Linked DNA regions of Drosophila melanogaster. The gene in region 3 interacts genetically with the main gene of each other region. Each region holds a gene or a part of one and is shown on either strand. Other genes may lie near its edges.

Evidence for each region.
Region 1: of okr (region 3) and c(3)G, changing one suppresses a phenotype caused by changing the other (phenotypic suppression), as found in Drosophila melanogaster (one study listed by BioGRID).
Region 2: of okr (region 3) and trem, changing one suppresses a phenotype caused by changing the other (phenotypic suppression), as found in Drosophila melanogaster (one study listed by BioGRID).
Region 4: of okr (region 3) and Brca2, changing one suppresses a phenotype caused by changing the other (phenotypic suppression), as found in Drosophila melanogaster (one study listed by BioGRID).

Annotation. Positions count from the first base shown.
Region 1 is NT_033777.3:15,788,948-15,794,508, forward strand, and holds c(3)G (crossover suppressor on 3 of gowen), read right to left. Parts: upstream 3,633-5,561; 5' UTR 3,584-3,632; intron 3,526-3,583; 5' UTR 3,496-3,525; coding exon 2,987-3,495; intron 2,932-2,986; coding exon 2,709-2,931; intron 2,638-2,708; coding exon 2,455-2,637; intron 2,402-2,454; coding exon 2,009-2,401; intron 1,946-2,008; coding exon 1,433-1,945; intron 1,368-1,432; coding exon 1,293-1,367; intron 1,238-1,292; coding exon 1,001-1,237; intron 943-1,000; coding exon 841-942; 3' UTR 526-840; downstream 1-525. Other genes in the region: Uros2 (uroporphyrinogen III synthase 2), read left to right, coding at 1-418; Acyp2 (acylphosphatase 2), read left to right, coding at 3,888-3,954, 4,010-4,026, 4,095-4,204, 4,263-4,377.
Region 2 is NT_033777.3:20,029,047-20,032,997, forward strand, and holds trem (trade embargo), read right to left. Parts: upstream 2,264-3,951; 5' UTR 2,165-2,263; coding exon 2,018-2,164; intron 1,964-2,017; coding exon 1,203-1,963; intron 1,147-1,202; coding exon 1,012-1,146; intron 956-1,011; coding exon 845-955; intron 786-844; coding exon 620-785; 3' UTR 514-619; downstream 1-513. Other genes in the region: CG4854 (uncharacterized protein), read left to right, coding at 154-352; idc (identity crisis), read left to right, coding at 2,894-3,064, 3,119-3,951.
Region 3 is NT_033779.5:2,989,044-2,994,410, forward strand, and holds okr (okra), read right to left. Parts: upstream 3,717-5,367; 5' UTR 3,667-3,716; coding exon 3,664-3,666; intron 3,607-3,663; coding exon 2,292-3,606; intron 2,236-2,291; coding exon 2,082-2,235; intron 2,024-2,081; coding exon 1,618-2,023; intron 1,557-1,617; coding exon 1,393-1,556; intron 1,337-1,392; coding exon 1,024-1,336; 3' UTR 551-1,023; downstream 1-550. Other genes in the region: Bem46, read left to right, coding at 1-38, 116-294, 354-468; CG3558 (uncharacterized protein), read left to right, coding at 4,692-5,365.
Region 4 is NT_033778.4:24,524,457-24,530,094, reverse strand, and holds Brca2 (BRCA2, DNA repair associated), read right to left. Parts: upstream 3,924-5,638; 5' UTR 3,795-3,923; coding exon 3,050-3,794; intron 2,990-3,049; coding exon 2,918-2,989; intron 2,859-2,917; coding exon 760-2,858; 3' UTR 542-759; downstream 1-541. Other genes in the region: CG4612 (uncharacterized protein), read left to right, coding at 4,623-5,321, 5,553-5,638. UniProt on the Drosophila melanogaster protein: Involved in and required for double-strand break repair by meiotic and mitotic homologous recombination. During meiosis, has a dual role in the repair of meiotic double-stranded breaks and the efficient activation of the meiotic recombination checkpoint.

The DNA.
Region 1 (5,561 bases), on a different chromosome or scaffold from region 3:
CGTGAATGCAAACAATCTGTGCGATCTGATCGTGGAGACGTTTGGACCCAAGAGGGATCTGCCACTGCTCATGCCCTGCGGCAATGGCGTGGGTCAGACACTGCGCCTCCGTTTGGTCGCCCAGGGATTCCGGGTGGATGCCTGCGAAGTGTACGAGAGTCGGTCGCATCCGGATTTCGTCAATCAGATGCGGCACGCCCTCAAATTCAAGCGAATGGAAACGATTGTGTTCTTCGGACCCTCCAGTGTCCGCAGCTCCTTGGAGTTCTTTGGGAACTACAACGTTTCGCTTAAGGATCGCAAGCTGATAGCCGTGGGCAGTGGCACCAGGAAGGCAATGGAGGAATCTGGAATTAAGGCGGACGGAGTCGTGAATGCTGCTGACGTCGACCGCCTGATAAATATCATCAAAACATAGTTTAGTATCGATCATTTTACGTTTTGTTTTTACCAGTTTTTACTTTTGGTATGATTTCAAAATCTGTTTGGTGTCCTTTAAAGAAATGAGGACAAAAGTGTGTTATTAATTAAAGTGTTTCAACAAAGTACATGTAATGTTTTTATTACAAAAACTATAATCAAATAGATTGGATCTATTTGAACAAGATACTTCAAGATATGAGTTTTAATTTAACAATTAGATACAAAATGGGATTAAATAACATAAAGTAATCATGTTCTTAAAAATAGCTTGCCAGTTTCAGACAAGTTTTCAAAGAAGTACAGATGTTTAAATGATGATGGATCTGAATGAATTTCTAAGCTCAATATTCTTCCATTTTACTAAAAACAAAGTGTAAGAATTGATAATGTTGTCTGTATGTTCGTTGTACTGCTTAGTTATTTAGAATTCTTCAACATGTCGAACATATCAATATTATTTTGTGGCTTGATGGGCGCACATAATTTGGCACGTTTGCCGCTTAAAGAGTTGCCCACGATCTGTAATAAAAGTTCAATAATTTAATTTCGATTATAGGTGCAATTAACAAATACTCACTGGTATATCATCGCCGCTATCAAAGTCGGAGGAATATGTGGTAATTTTTTGACGACGAGCATTACGCTTTCTGGCAGTGCTTGAAAATTCGTCTGTATTTTCCGGTTGCACCTTAGTAGGAATGCTCTCAGTTCTGGTTGGCCCTTTGGAATCTTTTAGCTGTTTAATTGTGGTCACTGGTTGGTCGATCAGGCAGTTAATTCGATTCATTTTAAATTGTAGCACAGCCATTTCATTCTGTTGGGCAATTTTAAATATATAACATGAAATATAATGAGTCCGATAGACTTACGTTCTTTTCACGCTCAAGTTCAATCAATTCGGTTTCTTTTCTTTTAATTTCAAGCTCCAATTCGGATACCTTTTTCTATATAAAAATAATAAATCATTTTGTAGAAAAAAGGTTAATGAAAAAGAATTTATAAGTCTTACCATTAGGTTATCTTTCTGAGACTGTAATTCCTCGCTAAATTTAACTTTGGCCGTGGATAATTCACTCTCGATTTCCTTCTTTTCAGCCTGAAGATTGATAATAGCGCTCTTTAGCGTATCATGATCACTAATCAAATATTCCAATTTATCCTGTTGAGCCTTAAAAGCTTTATTCCTTTCTTCGAGTTCAGATTTAAGTTTTTGTATTTCAACAGCGTTTCGCTTATTTTCGCTCTCAACTTCAGTGGCCTTCATCTGCATTTGATTAGCAAGCTGCTCCTGTTGCCTTTTGAGTTCTTCTTCAAAATTATGAGTTTTTTCTTGAATTTCATTACCAAGACGCTTTATTAGCTCTTCCTGATTGCTGCGATGGGACACCATTTCTATAAGTTTTTCCTGCAGTTCGGAGACCTGCAGAAGGGTTTCTTTGTGTAGCTTCTCACTGTTGCTTTTTAGCTGAGTAAAATCAACTGAAGCCTTGTTCAAGCTCTCTTTTAACTCTTGAACAACAATCTGTCAAGGAGAATAAATAATCAAGATACAATAAAATATGAATTTAGTATTTTTCAGACCAACCTCGTAGGCATCTGCTTGATCTTTTATTTCCTGGGAGTGCTTCAATTTTGTTTCAGTCAACTCATTGATATAACTTTCGTTGATATCAGCGAGCTCGCTCAATCTCTCCGTCATTTGAGTTAGTTCATCACTTAGGGAAACATGTCTTCTTTCCTTTTCCTCAATAAGAGTCTTAAACGTATTTATCTCATTGCGAACAAGTTCGAGTTCCCTCGTTGCCTGATCAGTCAATCGTTGCTGATCCACGAACTGCAATTCACTGGCTTCTAAATCACGTTGCAGTTTCGACAAAGCTTTGTTGGCCTCTATTGGCAGCTGCTCAATGCGATCTTCAAGCTGGGCGCAGTCAAGCATCTTTGCATTTAAGTCGCTGCTTAATTGTAAAATGTTTGCCTGTGGAGAACATAATGTTATAATCTAATACAAGGAAAGCCAGTGTAACCCACCTCAAACTTTTCCTTTTGTGCAGACACATCTTCAAATTGAAGCTGTAGGTCTTCGTGGAGCTCTTTGAGATCGGTAAGTTCATGTAGAATCATAGATTTGGCCACTTCTGCTTCTTCCAAATCCTTTTTATAATTCTCGCAGGCTCCAGCTAACTCACGATTCGTTTGCTGCATATTATTCAGCTGCAAAGTGAGATACACATGTAGATATATATAAATTTATATCTATATATTTTAAAATATAGTAAACTCACCTCTTGCGCCTGCAGGGCCATCCGGGATTGAGCATCTCGGAGCTCTGAATTTTTCTTCTCAACACATACTTTAATGATTTCCAGCTCCTTGTCGTAATGTTGCTCGCAGTGGGTGTACTTTTTGTTGATTTCCGTGTACTTCTGGATGTTCTCTGCGTTCTTCTCCTGCTGCTCGATAAGATCAGTTTTCAGTTGGGTCAGCTCCAGTTCCATATTTGTCAACCTGAAAGAATAAGCTCACTGCAGGCAGGAACTGTATTGAAGAAGGAAGGTCTTACTTTTCCTTCAAGCTGATATTTTCCGATTTTTTCTTCAGCGAGTCCATGGCGATGGCTCTCATTTTCTTGCTGACCACCAAGTCTTTCTTCTTGAGATTATTTAGCGATTCGTTGTACTGCTTTATGAAGCTATGAATTATTATTCCCGTGTGGGGCGACAGCTTCTGAATATCTGCCCATAATTCTCCCTCGTTTTTGGGAGACTTTTTTAGACTTTTTGTTGAACTGTCTATGGTGGCTGCAAAAGTTTGGTCTTCCTGTGTTTTTTCCACAGCCTGAGAAGTTTGCGCTTCAATTTTTGATTGCTGAACTCTAGGAGCCACTAGCGGAGTTCTTTTTTTGGATGGCTTTTCGTTTGATCTTTCGAAAAGTTGAGTTTTTACATGATCCTTTTTCCAAACAGTTGGAATTTGGCTGTTTTTTTCTTGGGCAACTGTACCTGGTTTTGGGGCTTTCGAGTGAGCTGCATCCACTAACGGTGCTCCCGATCTTTTCTTGGCGCCCGTCATTTTGCCAGCTAAGCAGTTGTATTAGCGCAACTAATTTATAAAAGAAATAAATATATATTGTACATTACAAACGTTTTGTTTAGTTTACCTAAACTTTTACCAAGTGCGTCCTGCGTTGAAAAGCAACGGTAAACATTAGCTAGAGATGAGCTTGATGACCTACAGTATATTGTTGTTCACAAGAGGTGTGTGTACTGTCTAAATACTGACCTCACGGTATTTTCTACTGAACGCCCCTGGTTTTGCGTTGTCGCCCTGGCTACGATAACTATGTTACAATTTAATAATAATTCTATTTTGGTTGTCAACATTCAGTTTTTGCTAGCTCTATTTAGAAATTTGAGTGCTGCAAGGAATCTAAGTGGCATCAGAAATCTGATCACGACTACATAATGGCGGGATCTGGAGTTGCCAAGCAGATATTTGCCCTCGATTTCGAGATCTTTGGACGAGTGCAAGGTATGCAATGCATTTTTCTGATTCGGCTTGTTAAACAGCGTATTAAATTTTGCAGGTGTGTTCTTCCGCAAAGTAAGTACTGGGAGGCCTATATATATATCTGGAAATCAACATTTAACTTATGTACATTTTTGGCTTAGCACACGTCGCATGAGGCTAAAAGATTGGGAGTTAGGGGCTGGTGCATGAATACCCGGGATGGGACCGTCAAGGGACAACTGGAGGCTCCTATGATGAATTTAATGGAAATGTAGGTACCGCTGCACTCCACTAATTCAATCATTTAACCATCGCCCACTAATTTGAAGGAAACATTGGCTGGAGAACAACCGAATTCCCAACGCTAAGGTCTCAAAGGCTGAATTTTCGCAAATCCAGGAAATCGAGGACTATACGTTCACTTCCTTTGACATAAAACATTAAAAACGAATTATTAGCTCTTTCGTTGTCCATCCAATTCCGAAACAAAGTCTAAATAAATTACCAGGGCTGCAACTTGCGTAAGCAGGCATATCTGCATTGCTATCGACTGAGTCGATAACATTCGATAGTATGAACATAAGAAATATTACGTTTCGCAAAACTGAACCCAGTACTGAAGTACAACAATAAATAAATAATAAATTATTTAAAACAAGGCGGAAAATTATTCCGAGAATCGATAGTCGCTAGTCGAAAGTGCGCACCACTCCAGTATCTACTCGATATATTGCTATCACAGCCGATAGTTTGCAGCTCCCTGCCATAGACACTGGTCATCTCGCTCGCACACACAACAGTGGGCCGCGCCACCGCCATAGGCGGCGCACGTGCAAGAGCGAGACAACCAGCTGGGCGACAGCGCACTTTGGTCTGGCACAGAAACGAGTACAGCTTCGATACACGTCGTTTTGCCAAAAGCGTAGCAGAGCAGTCTAAGCGATGAAAAAAATAAATGAGGAAAAAAGTCCGTGAAGCGAAAACCGTAATTCCTACAGTGCGAGTCACGCCATTGTGTTTGCAAAAAATATTTGCCAATTGTGCTACGGGCAATTTTTCGGAACGGCCGAATTGTGCGTATAATGAAAAAAAATACTACTTAATTTTTAAGCAATTTACAAATTCTTGCGTGCTGCCTGCCTGCTGTCGGTGTGTTCTTGCTTGCATGTGTTAGTGAGTACGATTACTTTCGCGCTGAAAACCTTTTTCCACTGCCCTTTCGCTGGAATCTGGGCGAATATAGATAGGACACAAAGCACATATAACTGATTTTTACTGCAGAATTGATCGAGACATGTGGAATACAATAAATGAGATTGTGTAAATAACTGAATATAGTGGCGCATACAGTTGCACGTGTGTGTGTGCTAGCATGTGCGTGTGTGTGTGTAAAGGCGCGAGTTTCCGTTTGCCTAGGCTAATTGTAGTGGAAAAACTCAATAAACGGAATTACATAAAAACATGGTGGCATGATCGGCAGTTTCCCGCCGGCAGAAGATGCCCAATCTTGGAAAATTGTAATTTTCGAAAGTAACCGCAATGATTTCGTCAGTATGTAAAGTAGTCTGTCAGTCCCTGCATATGTTTGTGTGTGTGTGTTCTATACAGTTTTTTTTATTGCGCATCAT
Region 2 (3,951 bases), on a different chromosome or scaffold from region 3:
AAACATATAGGGCTGTCATAACTAGAATAAAAGAGATATATTTCTGTTAATCAGCTTTAATGTCAATTAATTGTTAACAAGTCTTGATAAAAGTTACTTCAAATCTAAATCTTAAGACATCCACGGAAGTTTCTAACGTTAAATACACTTTAGGATCCACACCAACGAACGACCGTACAAATGCGAGTTCTGCAGCAGGTCCTTTGGCTACTCCAACGTCCTCCGGGTTCATCTGAAAACCCATACCGGTGAACGACCATTTAGCTGCCAGTACTGCCAGAAGTCCTTCTCCCAGCTGCACCACAAAAACAGCCACGAAAAGTCACACAAAAGGACGAAAGAGGTGAAATGATTGCAGTGACTAAGAGGAAACATTGAGGTGCAAATTAAATAAGTTTCTCGTTGAAAATTGTACAATATATTAATGGATAAGTTCTAAGCCATAGGGCACCGCCATTAAAATTTGTCATTTTTCCTTATTTAATTTTTTATAAGAAGTAAAAAACAAATTGTACAAAAAAATATATCCTGTGTACATTTATTTGCTTAATGGAAGAACTTAAACAACGGCTTACTAAATACTTAGACTAAACTTTGCATAAGAACTAAAAAGAACATGTCACTCTTTGGGGAGTTCATTGAGAAACTCCGGCGTTTCCCCCTTGACATCTTCTGCTTTGGTGCTCTCTTCTGCGTCATTTCTCCAGGTGATACGTCTATTATGCGTTTCCCGATGCAAACGCAATTTGTAGGCCTTCACAAATCCTTTGCCACAAAGATCACAGCTGAAAGAGAATAGCTATTATTGCAGGATAATGAAGTAGTAAAATATGTTGATGCTTACACATGCGGCTTCTCCCCCGTGTGAATCATCTTGTGGAACTTCAGGTTGTCCGAGTAGGTAAACGTTCTGGAGCAAACGTCGCACACGTAGGGACGCTCCTTAGTGTGAATTCTGGAGAGAAATAATGTCAGTTTAATTTACTTTCAACTGTTTCGAATATTTCTCACCTATGATGTTTGGTTTTCGTGGATCGATCGGCGAAGGCAGCTGGACAGTAGTTGCACTTGTATGGTCGGTTCCCCGTGTGAGTGTTCATGTGCCGTACCAGCTGTTGATTCTGCACAAAGCCTCTTCCGCAGATCCTATAATAACATCCTATTAGCCATAGTTACTATTTACTTTCAACTTTTAAACCTACTCGCACTCGTGTGGTTTAACACCAGAATGGAATTTCATGTGCTCGGTGAGACGCGCCTGAGTCGGATAGATATTTCCGCACACATCGCAGATGTATGTGCTCAGCTTGTTGCGCGGCTTTCTGCCCACCTTCTTTTTGAAGGTTTCCACTTTTGGGCTATTCTTGTGGTATGCAACTGGCTTCCTGCCCGATCGGTCGCATTTTTCCGGCTTAGCATGAGTTGGGTCATAATCTTCGTCAGAGTCGAGTATGTCTTCAGCAATTTCTTCTTCGGGCGGCTCCTCTGTGGCAACATCTGTGCCGGTGGAGCCTTTTTCCTGTGCGATTTCCGGCGAGTTTTCGTTGGTGAGCAGTTCGTATTCCTCGTATTCAGCATAGGTTTCAGCCTCCTCGATCTCATTTGGCACCGGCTGCGTGGGATCGTGCACATCGAACATATTGGTATCATCAGTATCACCATCCTCCACGACATAGGTGATAACCTGATGTTGCTGATCCTCCTCGCCCTCCACTTTCATGCCGCCATCCAGCTGACTGGCGTAGTCCTCCCACGACTTCAGTACGCTCTCCACCGAAAGGTCCTCCGCGATGCTAAGCAAATCCCCTTCGCCGGCGGCGTTAGCATTGCTGGCCTCCCGGTCCAGCATGTCCATAATGTGCTGATGGGATCGCTGGCATGTCAGACGGAACTTGTAGCAGAGCCGCAGGCAGCGCACGCACTTGCTGCACATCTTGTCCGGGAAGTTGTCATCTAGGCTGACCTGTTTGGGTTGGAATAATTTAAAATGGGCAAACCAAGCAGGATTCACACTTACTGGAATGCCTGCGCAAATGTGCAGCATTTGGTCCAGTCGCGTGCTTGCCGTTTCGCTGAATATGTCGTGGAGCAGCTCCTCGCCCTCGCTGGGATTGTTCAGGCAAACGCGGCACACCACCCACTTCTCGTTGGACTCAGTTTTCATGGCTAATTCGATAAAACAATCACTTCGGTTGTTGCAGAAGATTCAAACAGCTGAATTTAAGCGTCCACGGCCACTGGCCATTCACAGCGAAACGCGCCCGCCAAAGTTGATACGGTGAATGCACGTTATGAACGACTACATGGAGCGTACAGGGTACATAGCTGTATGTGCACTTTTTACCAAACAAATGTTTTAAATAATTTTTTTTTGGTAGAAAATAATATAAAAATGCGCGTCATTTTATTAATTTTATTTTCAATTTACAAATATTGAAGGAAAATGGTTTTAAGTTCGTTTATATAATAAAAAGGAAAAGCACTATTCTATCAAAGTAGTTTTGTTTCAGTACAGTAATGACCACACTGTCTTATGGAACGATGGAACTTTACATGAGCTTGACATATAATATTGTATTAAACTGCTTAATCAAGCTTTTATATATTTAAATTGTAAAACACTTGAATTCCAATTTTACTGATTTATTTAACTGCCCACAAAATGCATTCGTATTCTTAATTATATATTTAATATTTGAAGTAGCGAATGGAATACCCTTAGCGTCGACTGTGGTCACCCTGTGTGGCGACATTCGCATTGCAACGCGTGCACTTCGCTCCAGACTACAATCTATTTTTTTGGCGTCGTCTTCGTCCAGCGAGCGTGTTATTATAAATATTATAGCGGAGGGTAAGTAGCCTCCTGGAAGAGATCCATCTCCTATTCGCGACAATGAGAGACTCGGCAGCACATGCGAGTCCGGCGGCAGCGGCAACGAGCACGCAGAAGTGGATCGTTTGCCGGGTTTGCCTGCAGCAGCCCAAGGAGCCCATGGCCAGCATTTTCAACGACGATTCGGAAAAGGATCTGACCCACATGATTCGCGAGTGCGGCGGAGTGCCCGTAAGTTTGTCCCATTGGACCCCGAACCATATAACAATGCAATTTCCTTGGCAGATCAAACAGTTCGATCACTATCCGGACAAGATATGCGAGAAGTGCTTCAAGGTGCTGAAAATGGCATTTAAGTTTCGAGAGACCTGCCAAAGATCGTACGGCCATCTGCGCCAGTTCGTTGGACCCGTAGAGGTGGAGCAGCGACCACCGGAGAAAAAGGGCTCAGAGACAGCCACCAAGCTGGAGCCGGATGTCGATCCCGATGAGGCGGAGCAGGAGCCAGAGCATGACGAGGAAGACGAGGATGTGGACCTGGACGAGAGCCACTATGCCGAGGCGGACGATGCCGCCGAAACGCAGGGTGGTGTCTTCCATGACGAGATTGAGGATGGTATCCTCGTTGAGCTGGAAAAGGATCGGATTGTGCACGTGAAGAACGAGCAGGTGGAGGAGGACGGCATAATCGAGGAGGTTTATGACGTGTATGAGACGTACGAGGGCGACCTCATCCCAGATCAGGGCTATGACCACGAGATGGCCGATCAAGCCCTGTCCGAGTTATCTGCCGAAATCGAATACCTGGACCAGGTCGAGCATGATCAGTTGACCGAAAGTGCCCACGAGGATGATGCGGAAGTCGATCTGAACTCAACCGAAGAGGAGTTCGTTCCCTCAAAAAGCGTTCGCGCGTCCATCCATGCGCGGAATGCCACCAAGCGGAGAGTGAATCCCCGCAGGTCAGCTACATCGACGGCCTCGGTGGCTGTAGAATCGAGTACCTCCAAGACAACTGACCGCGGCAATCCACTTAAGGTACGGCGGGGTAACAGTGATTCGGCTGGCAGCAAAATGAGCATCAAATCCGAGAAGGACATCTCGATTGGCGAGGTGCT
Region 3 (5,367 bases):
CTGTGAAGTATATACCAAATCTATTATTTAAGAATAAGGTGGGTAGTCGTCGCCGGTTGAGCCCTCTGTTTACTTTATCTCATTACCACATTATTGTTTGTTGTTTCACATGCAGTATCACTCCATGAGCAAGATAGGCAAGTGTTCGGTTCCCTTTTTGTTTATTTCGGGCCTTGCGGACAACTTAGTGCCACCGCGCATGATGCGTGCCTTGTATACCAAATGCGGCAGCGAGATAAAGCGCCTGCTCGAATTCCCCGGCGGATCGCACAACGACACTTGGATAGTGGACGGGTATGGCCGGCAATTAATCTTCACTTTCCCATTTATCCATGGGTGTGCTTGCTTTTTAGGTACTATCAGGCCATCGGTGGGTTTTTGGCCGAGCTGCAGCAACAGCCGCTCCTCAAGGCGCCGGAGAAGAGCAACGTCTGGGTGGAGCTGGAGCATAAAATTATTGATGTATAGACCCGAATACATCAAGTGTTCAATTGACTGTGTTAACACTGCGAATGGTTTAATACTTATACATATACACACGCATAATATTAATCTGTATCTGACAGGGTTTTAATCCGGACGTTGCTATACGCCAAATTGCTTTTTATGTGCAGAGAATAACGTGCTAGCGGAGATGGCTGTTGATTTTAAGTAACCAACTTAAATAACTTTGCGCTTAAGCAAGTGAATACACACTAGAATCCGAATTTCGATGTTTGCTTGTATTTGTCCTAAGCTATGTTAACCTACTACTTTGCCCGATTGGCGGCCAGTTAAGAGTATAGAAATTGATCAGTATTTCACAAAAAAGTAAACTATTTTCTGGACTGACTCCTACATTGCCAGATTAGTTTATAGAAGCCTTCACCCCTAGCACGTTAACATTTTGTGCTGGTTCCATTTTTGAAATGTTAAATTAATAACTTGTTAGGATTGCAAAGGAAGCCAGAAAAAGTTATCTTAAGTTTAGACTTAAGTGCGAAGAAAAAGGAAATTCGAGAAACAATAAACTGCAAACAATTGCTAGAATCCACGGAAGTCCTCATCGGCACTGTCATCACTGGCGGGCGTGGATGATCGTTTGCGGCTTTCTGGTTTTTCCTCTGGCTGATCTGTTGCTTCCTCCTCAGCACTCGGCACAATTTCCTGAGCCTGCGATCGGTGGTGGAAGACAAAGGACACGCACTTGCAATCCATCCAGGCCTGGGCGAGAATATTGTCAGGCAGGCCTCTGTTGTTGGAGCAATGGTACCATTGTGACAAATGCGAGGTGCAGTCCGTGTCCTCGGGCGGTGGCTTCATTTGTATATTTTGAACGCAGCGCTTACACTTGAGCCTGAAAAGATATGTTACACGATCATGATCTAAAGGGTATCCAAAGCCAGTTCTTACTTGTCGTGTGTGTCGGACAGAATGTTCGCATCAAATGTAAACAAGTCCTTCAGATCGTCGCGGGTGAAATGCTTCTCGGCCGACTCGTTGTTGTCAATGATGGTGCTCGACAGGGATTTTTTGTGCGTCTGTCGCTGCAGGATCTTCTCCTCGATGGAACCACTCTGAAAGAGATTTCTTGAGTTGAAAAAGAAAGTTCCGTGCAGAACCAATTCAGGTACTCACGGCAACGAGGCGATATATGTAACAGGGCTTCTTTTGCCCGTCACGCCACACTCTGGCCATTGCCTGCTCATCGTTGGCCGGATTCCAGTCTGGGTCAAACATGAACAGGCGGTTGGCTCCAATCAAATTCAAGCCGCAGCCGCCAGCCTTGCTGCTCAGCATGAAAAGGAAGCTGTCAGACTCCGGGTCATTGAATCGGTCAACAACCTTCGATCGCTTCTTGATGGACATGGTGCCATCAAGCCGGACAAATCCGTACTTTCGCTTCCTCGCGAGCTGCTCGAACAAGTCCAGGGTCTGTGTGTAATTGGAAATGAGAACCACCTTGTCGTTGCCCTCTGCACGTATTGCTGCCAGCATGAAATCCAGGAGCATGAACTTGCCACTTAGCTCTGGATTGAGATCCCTGGAACACAAAAGATTCATTAATAGCCATTGCTATTCGCGCGCAACAGGCGACGTACTTTGGTTTGTAATTACTAGGCAGCACATTTTGGGAGTTTTCGAATCCCTTTTCCCGCGCAGTGAGCTTCTCATATATGAGATCCGGATGACTGCAAATCTTCTTAAGCGTTGTAATGTCTGCCAGCGCCGTAAGCGAAGCCTTTTCATTGCAATCTTGAAGGGAATTGTAAATGGTAGGAATGTTGTGGTAGTATTGCCTAATGACTTACCCGCCAAACTACGTCGAACTTGATCAGACTTCAAGAAATTCGTGTATAGCTCGAGTTGAATCGCCGTCAGTTTCGCACAGATAACCATTTCAAACTTAACCGGCAGATATTTGGTTAGAATTTGATTAGTGCGACGAATGATGCACTGATCGACCAGACCTATCAGCTCCTGTGTCTTCTCTATGGCCCGTTGTCGCTCCTGTTCCGTGGAGTCAGTATTCTGGCCCCGCAGAATAGCGCTCTCGAAGTTGCGCTTAAACACGGCCGCCGTTCCCAGCATCTCCGGGTTTACAAAGTTCACCAGGCTGTAGTACTCAGTAAGATCGTTCTGGATGGGAGTGCCGGAAAGCAAGACCCGTCGCTTTGTCTTCAGTCCCATGAGAGCCTGATACGTCAGATTGTCGCTGTTCTTGAGGCGATGTCCCTCGTCGCATATCACCATTCCCACCTCGTACTTGCACAGGATCTCCGCGTAGATGCGAAATGTCTCGTAGCTGATGAGCAGAACAGGTGTCCCCAGCCGGGCAGAAGTCATGGAGAACTGCTCGAGTGCTCGGATGGTGTTCTCCTTGGTCCCGCCCTCCATGGGCAGGCAAAGGAGTCGACCGTGAAGCCACTTGGTAAACTCCTTCTCCCAGTTCTTAACCAGCGATGATGGAGACACGACAATGGCTTTGTTGATCGTCGGCTTGCACTCGGGCCCCTGCCTTAGAAGTGTCCAGACCAGCGTTACGCACTGCAGCGTCTTCCCGAGACCCATTTCGTCGGCCATGATGCATCCATTGAAGTTGCCCCGCTTTCCCTCCACACACTCGTACATGAAACGCACTCCCTCGCGCTGGTGCGGCCGCAATATGTTGCTCAGCAGCGGATCGACGACGACGTGCACCAGAACCTTGGTCGGATCCATGCCCATGCGCTCGTGTTCTGTGTAGGCGGGTGGATGGAAGAGTACCAAGGCGTTGCAGGCCATCGGATCGTGTAGGGGTCGTCGGGAAATGCAGCGCCGCACGCCCAGGACCCGTTTACCACCGTAATCCGGTACGTAATTGTCCATGGGCACCTTGAACTTCCGTGCCAGAACCTTGGCAATGGCCAACTCATACTCGCTGTTCGCCGTGAAGCGAATAGGCAGTGGGAGCTCTGATGTGTTGCTGGCATCTCGGAGGGCGCCCAGTCGTCTTCTGTCCAGTTCTTGCTCTCGCTCCAGTTCCTGCTGGCAGGATCGCTTGTTTTTCTTCAGCAGTGGCGGCGTGAAGGAGTGACGGGACTCGGGACGCAGTGGTCCACGTTGGCTGGGAGCCAGACTGCGCCGCTTTAGGAATAAATGATTAGGGAAATGGAATTAAATAAATCAAATTTTTGTATTTACCATTTCATTAAATTCAAATGGCGGTAGCGCGAACAGCTGATAGAAGCGCGGAAGTCTGGTCACACAGGCGATAAGAAATACTGGTAAGTGGAACGCTGGGATAATGAAACAGAACGCATTTAATCAAACTAATACTTGTGATCATAGCACGCTGTTTTAAAAGTGAATAGATAATTAGATAAAAATAAAACTAAAATGGAATTGCTACACCCCGATGTCAAAAATTCCCGATGTATCTCAGGTATAATCGAAACATCGATATGTTATATTGATAGCTGCTCATCGCTAACTTTCTATTTCCGTGCAGATATAATTGTAAATATTTACGCAGAATTGCTTTGGAAACACTACGAAAATAGTGCAAAATGAGGCAATAAAGTGCGGGCCGGACTGCCTTCCCTTTCTTGACTTCAAAACCCGCGCCAAAAGCGCGAATTTCGTGCTGCAAGAACGCAAATCTAGTCCGCAAATCTGCGGAAGTGTTGGTACTACCACTTAATTGTATTTGTAATTGTAATTGCCAAAGTGCCAAAAAAAAAAACGCTGCAAATGCTGCAAGCGTGAAAACCCATCTAAGAAGGGCCACTAAACAGTAATGGGTGTAGATGCACGATGCACGGAGAGCGGAAAGCAGCGGAGACGATGACGATGATCAAATCTAAATTCATCAGGTGAGCGAGCAGCAGCAGCAACAACAACCACAGTGAGTGCCCAAATAGGTGGGCACACGTACACAGGTGTGTGTGTGGCTGTGTGCGTAAGTGTGTCACTTGTTGTTCTTGGGAACATTAGAGAAAAGTAAATAGCGAATATTCAACTAAAGTGCGTCTTCTTTTAGCTTCTAAATATTTAAAAAGCGAGCAACATTGAAATACTCACCACTCACACAGTCGGACAAAAGCACAAAACGAGAGATAACAGAGCACCAGCACCACCAATTCATGCCAAACGAAACGCACACGGAGCAGTTATCAGCGGACCAGCGCCACTAAAAGCCACCGAATCGCACACACACCGCACCGACAACGATGTGGCTGCGCCAGAGCAGCGGTGGAGGCGTTGCCTCCGTCGGACACGTCGGCCCACTGCGACAGCGACCCATCGACGCTGCCACAGACTGCGATCCGCGCGCTTGCTACGACAGCTTCTGTAAGCACTGGCAGCAGGCCTTCGAGATCATCCAGCACAGTGCACCGCCCTCGCACGACGACGTGCTGGGCGTGGTCTCGCACTTGGACTACATGGTCACCCTGCTGCTCGTGGAGCTGCATCACTGCAACAAAGTCTCGCTGCCGGCGGCCGAGGCTAGTGGTCCGCCTGCGGCGCCCTGCCTGGAATTCCTGCTCAGCGAGAATCTGCTGGACAAGCTGTACGAGTGGGCCTGCACCACGGGACGGTATGCCAACGCTGTGAGGCTGGAGCAGCTGAAGCTGTACGAACTGCTCGTCAGCCACTCGCGCCACCAGCTGCTCTGCCACGAGCCCTTCCTGCGACCCCTGCTCAAGATACTGGCATCCAGCCAGGGCGAGATCTTTCCGCCCGATCTCGAGAAGCGCCTGGTGATCCTGCTGAACCAGCTGTGCGTGGTTCTTATGCAGAATGTCCACCTGCTGGACCTCTTTTTCTTCTCCGCCCAGACGCAGGTGCAGGAGCAGATATTAAATGGCAACGTGGCGCCACCCAAAAGCGGAACCACTACCAAGT
Region 4 (5,638 bases), on a different chromosome or scaffold from region 3:
TCTGGAGGATCTGGCCAGGGCTCCCTACCCCAGTCTGCACGACGAGTACTACAGAAGTCAGATGAAGGCGAAAACCTTCCTGCCCGAACGGCTCCGCAGGAACAGCTTGAGCTTGAACGCCACCCTGCTAAAGGCGTACCGGGATGGGCTCAATCAGAGCTACATATACATATTGTACGAGGACCGCCTGGAGCTGATCCTGATGCAGCAGTACCTGCTGAAGACGCCGCGCTTCAACATGATTCGCCAGGCCGTGGGTTTTACCCTCGAATCCTACTGCGTGTCCAACAGTCTGCCGTACTTGGCGATGACCAGTGAGTTCATGAGGCGCCTGCAGGAGCACGGGATCAGCATCAAAATGAAGGCGGACACTTTCCGGGAGCTCATCCATCAGGGAATCTATACCTTGATGCGCGATGATGAGCCGCCGGCTAAGGCATTCGACCTGGACTACTACTTTTTCGCATTTGTTTTGTGAACTGTGGGACTGATTTCGTCTCTTCTCGTTTTTTTCGCGGAACTCGTAAGTGGGCACCTTTAAGGAAGTTGGTTAGCGGGTGGCCCTTATCGGATCGTTTATTTCCTTATAAGGTGCACTTAACAAAAAACGCTTATTATGATAACTTATACAATTATTCAATCTGTCATGATGAGACCACTAATGGCATACCTTAATTAATTCAACTAAATCTCTACCCATTTCAAATCGGCCAGCGGTTTAAATATTTTGGGTATAAAGCAACGCTTACTTAATGTGTACTAATAGCGACTTCGACTCAGACCAAGTCTTCGACTCTTTTTGGGTTGCATGCAAATAGGGGACATGTCCTCCGCATCCTGTCTATTCTTTGTACAGTCCTTGGAGCGATTTAAGTCCCTGTCGGCCAGCGGAGTACTTGTCGAGGAAGGCTTGGGAGCGAATCGCTCCATAGTGGGTAAGGCGCAGGAAGTGGAAGTTTCAGTTGACAAAATGATCTTTCGCTTTCTTTTTAGTGACAGGAGGTTCCGGCGAGCTATTACGGACTTCTTGGTGGCCTGGTCCAGTGGTGATTTGCCGGCAAGTTGCGATAGTGAGGAGTGGATCTCCTGCGACCTTCTGGGTGTCCTCACCAATGGCTGGCTACACAGCGGATGCTCTTCCTTTGCAGAATGCTCCACGAAGAAGTCGTGTTTGAAATGCTCAATATCTGAGGTATTTTTTAGACTTTGTACATTGCAAAAAGTTGGCTTGTTGGCACTGTCTTCTGCCGCCGCTTCATCTACGAACTTGGCATCAATATTTCTCGATTCCTCAGAGATCACAGTTGGTTGGTTCGAGTCAGTGCTTGCATCGGCGGCTTGAAATTCACTCATGAACTGTGCAACTTTGATTTTCGTATTTTCCGAAATCACAATTCCTTTATTTGAAGCGGTACGAAAGCCGAAGAATTCGGTCTCAGATACGGTTTTAGTATTCACAGCCTTATTATTTTCAACATTTATTGAATGAATCTCATTGTTTGGAGAGGTGGGTAGAACATCAGGAAAATCGCTTGGCTGCCACCCGTTTAATTGGTCTGTAGCTTTAGACTGGGCCAGAAACATGGCTCCTCTCTTCTCCATCGCCTCGGTAATCTCAATGGCTTTGTTTGACGCTGTTCTAAAGCCGAAAAACTGTGATTCATTTAAGTCACGGCAAACTGGGTCAAGTGTGGGTTGATGCGGTTCCCGCATTGTAGTATCAACGACCACCAACTTGGAAGCTTTCGATCGCATTTCCTCTGAACTCTCTATTGATCTTTTTAAGGCTGTATCAAGTCCAACAGACGTCGGTTTGTCATTTGGCTGATGGACTAAATAATCATTTTGTTGAATTGTTTCTTTGGATTGAAACTCAGCCATAAACTCTGCAGTTTTGATTTTCATCTTCTCAGAAATCGGAATTGCCTTATTTGAGGCTGTGCGAAAGCCACAAAACTCGGGCTCTGCTATAGTATCGTTATTGAGAGGACTGAATTTTCCATTTATTTCTCCAACGTCAACTTTAGCTATTGCATTGTAGGTTTCCTTACCATCCAATATTTCGATGGGCTTGCTTGGGGCTGATTTGAATTCCGCACACTGTGTTGATTCCATTACTTGACTATGATTATCGGAGTATTCCTCAGTACGTAAGTTGCACTTGTGACTAAAGTGATATAGGCCGGATACAACTTTGTCTACAAACTCTTCGCCTTTAATTTTCATTTCTTCCGAAACCTCGATAAATTTGAAGGACTTCTTTCGAATGCCATTAAGTTGATGACTGCTTATGGTCTGACTTTTATTAGGAGTCTGCTTTTCTGGTTGCTCCTTGTCGTCCAGATTTATTGAATTGATGTTTTCTTTAGGCCCTTGAATTGCGTTTTTGGAGGTTGATGGGCCATTAGAGCACTGCATTGGTTGCCAATCATTAAAAAGAAACTCCTCAAGAAGCTCGCCGTCGTTCAATAGGTTTTCTTGCTCTGCAGCATTAGGCTGATCCAGAATAGTAGTTCCTTCGTTTTTCGTGTTAATATCACAAGATTGTTTTGAGGCTCCTCTAACCTTTGATGCATTTGAATCTTTGCTACTTTTTTGTTCTTTCTGGGAACTTGGCTCCAACTTTAACTTTTTATCGGGTATATGTTTGATTACATCTTTGGAGATCTCGGGCAGTTCCATCGGAGTTAGCCATTCACTTAGTGGTATGCCTTCTAATATGAAGTTTGTGTTCTCCTCTATGTCAACATTTTTTGCTTGCGTTTGGCCCATCAAAAGTTTCTTATTTTCAGCAATTTCGACATCAGCTTTTTTCAATGTAGAGTCTGCATCAGACCAAACATTACGTTTTCCACTTTCTATAAATAAGGGTTTATATTAATGAACTTCGCAACAACATAAATTGCATATGAATTACCCAATCGGAGGCGCGTAGTGGGAACCGATTGCATGCTATCGCCATAAATAGTGTCTGCCATAGTTCCTGGACCTACGTACATATAAAAGGAGTTACAAATGTGTTTCTTGCCATATCGATCCCACTCCCTACCTTCCTGCTCATGCTCATTTTCATAGAAAGAGGCCTCAAATGTAAATCCGCTCTGCAACAGGTCATCCCTCAAGTTCTCCAATTCAGCGTTGAAACACTCGTCACCAGAATCCTGCCTTGCTTCGGTTGGCAGATCTATTTGCGATGGGACAGGAGTCGGACCGGAAGCTGTCGCGGTCGCGGAAAAGTATTGACTGAGGTTCAAAAGGACCTCGTGTATCTTCTGTGATGAAGCATCGAAATCACAAGCCATAGATGTGAACGAAGTATTGAGATCCCTCTGCACGGAGAGGCCTGAGGAACCTCTACGCTTCTCGTTTTGAACGGCCTTGTGGCTTTTGGGATCCCTCTTCCGGCTGTAGGTTCTGATCCTTTTGTTGCGAAATCGAAACCACGGCTCCGACTCATGGCTGGGCTCATCCTCATCCTCTGCGTATGTTGGAGACGAGCAAAAGTCGCTCATGATCATCTCGACCTGGTCCTCGGGCGTGGGCTCTGCGTAGGACAAAATAAGATCCTCCACGGCGACGAAGTCGCTGTTGTCCACCGCAAGCCGCTCGTGACCCCGAGTCCGTCGAGCGATGGCGAAAGTCTGGCGATCGGCTTCGCATATTTTGGCCATTTCGTCGATAATGTTACTCCGATTTGCCGCCGCGGAAACTGTGGCGCCACGTTCGCGCGCATGGGCTCCTCTTCCTTGGGATAGCCTGTTCGGATGACTTCCCGATGCGCCATTCTGGTCCATCACGTCATCTAATTGTTTAAATGTGTTTTATTTGAAGTAAGCAAGTGTCCAATGCTTTTGTGGTTGCATTTCCAAAACAAGGGGTGCAGTGTTGGTAAGCGTTGCTTTGATGGCCATTATCCGCTAACTGTGGAGGGTGGACTTGCTAAGCAATCGGGAGCGAGAAAGTCATCGATGGTATGGCCAAGAACATGAAGGCCTCACGTATCGATGGCAGATGCATCGATGTTTTTTAACATCACTAATCACTAGTAGCGACAGTTTTTGCATAAAATACAATTAAATAATAAAGGGCCATCGCCGAAGCTGCAAAAACCAGGTTTTACACTGCTGCAATTGCTGAAGAGTCTAGTTTAGGTGCCACTCGAAAACAATACCGGAAAGTGTTACGCGAAAGCCCAGCAGAGCCCCAAAGAATCAGCCCAAAAGTGAAAGCCCCCAGAAAAAGTAAAGTACAAAAGAGCGAAAGGAAGAGCCAGAGAGGTAAAGAAAGAGAGAGCGAAGAGCGTTGAAAAGAGTCTGTGCGAGAGAAAAACGATTTTTTCAACTCCGCGAATCCTTGGTCATATTCCGTGTGCAAATCCTGGTAAGTGGGCATTCCGCTGGATTACGACTAGATTGGCCATAACGCAGATTCCCGACATCCCAGGTAAATCGGGAAGTGAAGTGAAATACTAGGACCAGGACAAGAACGCCGTCAAGATTCTCGGGCCCATCTACAGCGGTATCCAGATCCAGAGCCACGGCCACCAGGACGCAGAATCCACCTACAGCACCTACAGCACTCCACTAGCCGCCACCACGCTCCACAAACAGCCAGCAGCCATTATGTTCGTCAACTCCATGACGTTCCGCGGCAATCCGGCGAACTACCACCAGCAGCAGCCGGCCCTGAACCACCACACGCTGGCAGCGGCGCACCACCAGCAGCAGCTGCACCACCACGCCGCTGCAGCTGGTCACCTGAGCCACGTCGGCGGTGGGCACGCAGCCAGTAACCACCTGGCGGCCGCCGCTGTTCTCGGACGGCATGGCCACAACTCCCTGGGCAGCGGGCACACGTCCACGTCCTCGCACTCGGCCAATGTGGGCGTGGGAGTCGGCGGGGGAGCTCTGGCTAGCGGCTCCACTGGGGGCAGCGGAGGCAACAGCTCTCCGGACAGTGGCAAGATCTATATCAAGAACCTGGAGCGGTCCATCGACAACAAGGCGGTGTACGACACGTTCTCGGTGTTCGGAAACATCCTAAACTGCAATGTGGCCAAAGACGAGGATGGCAATTCACGCGGCTATGGGTTTGTGCATTTCGATTCGGAGGAGGCCGCCCGAGCGGCCATCGAGAAGGTGAATGGGATGCTGTGCAATAATCAGAAGGTGCATGTGGTCAAGTTCATACCACGGCGGGACCGGGAGCAGGAGAAGGCCACGCACTTCAAGAATCTGTATGTGAAGAACCTCAGCGAGGAGTTCACCGAGCAGCATTTGCGCGAGATGTTCGAGCCCTACGGCCGCATCACCAGTCACAAGGTACGTTGTTTGGTCACCTCATCTTCCCTACGGGGATGTTCGTGGGGCCGGGTGGTTGGACGACAACCATGTGGCACAGTTTTGCACTCTCTTAAGTCCTCTCTTGCGCCATTGCTGCGCATGCCCATGTAGCCACGAGGAGTTTGTGACGGCGGGGAAGATGAGGACTCCACCTGGCCCATCTGTGCTAATTTGTTTATATCATCGATTTGCTTTCTCCGATCCTTGCAGCTCATGCTGGACGAGGAGGGGCGCTCCCGGCGTTTCGGTTTCGTCGCCTACGAGAACCCACAGTCGGCGCTGGCCGCCGTAATTGG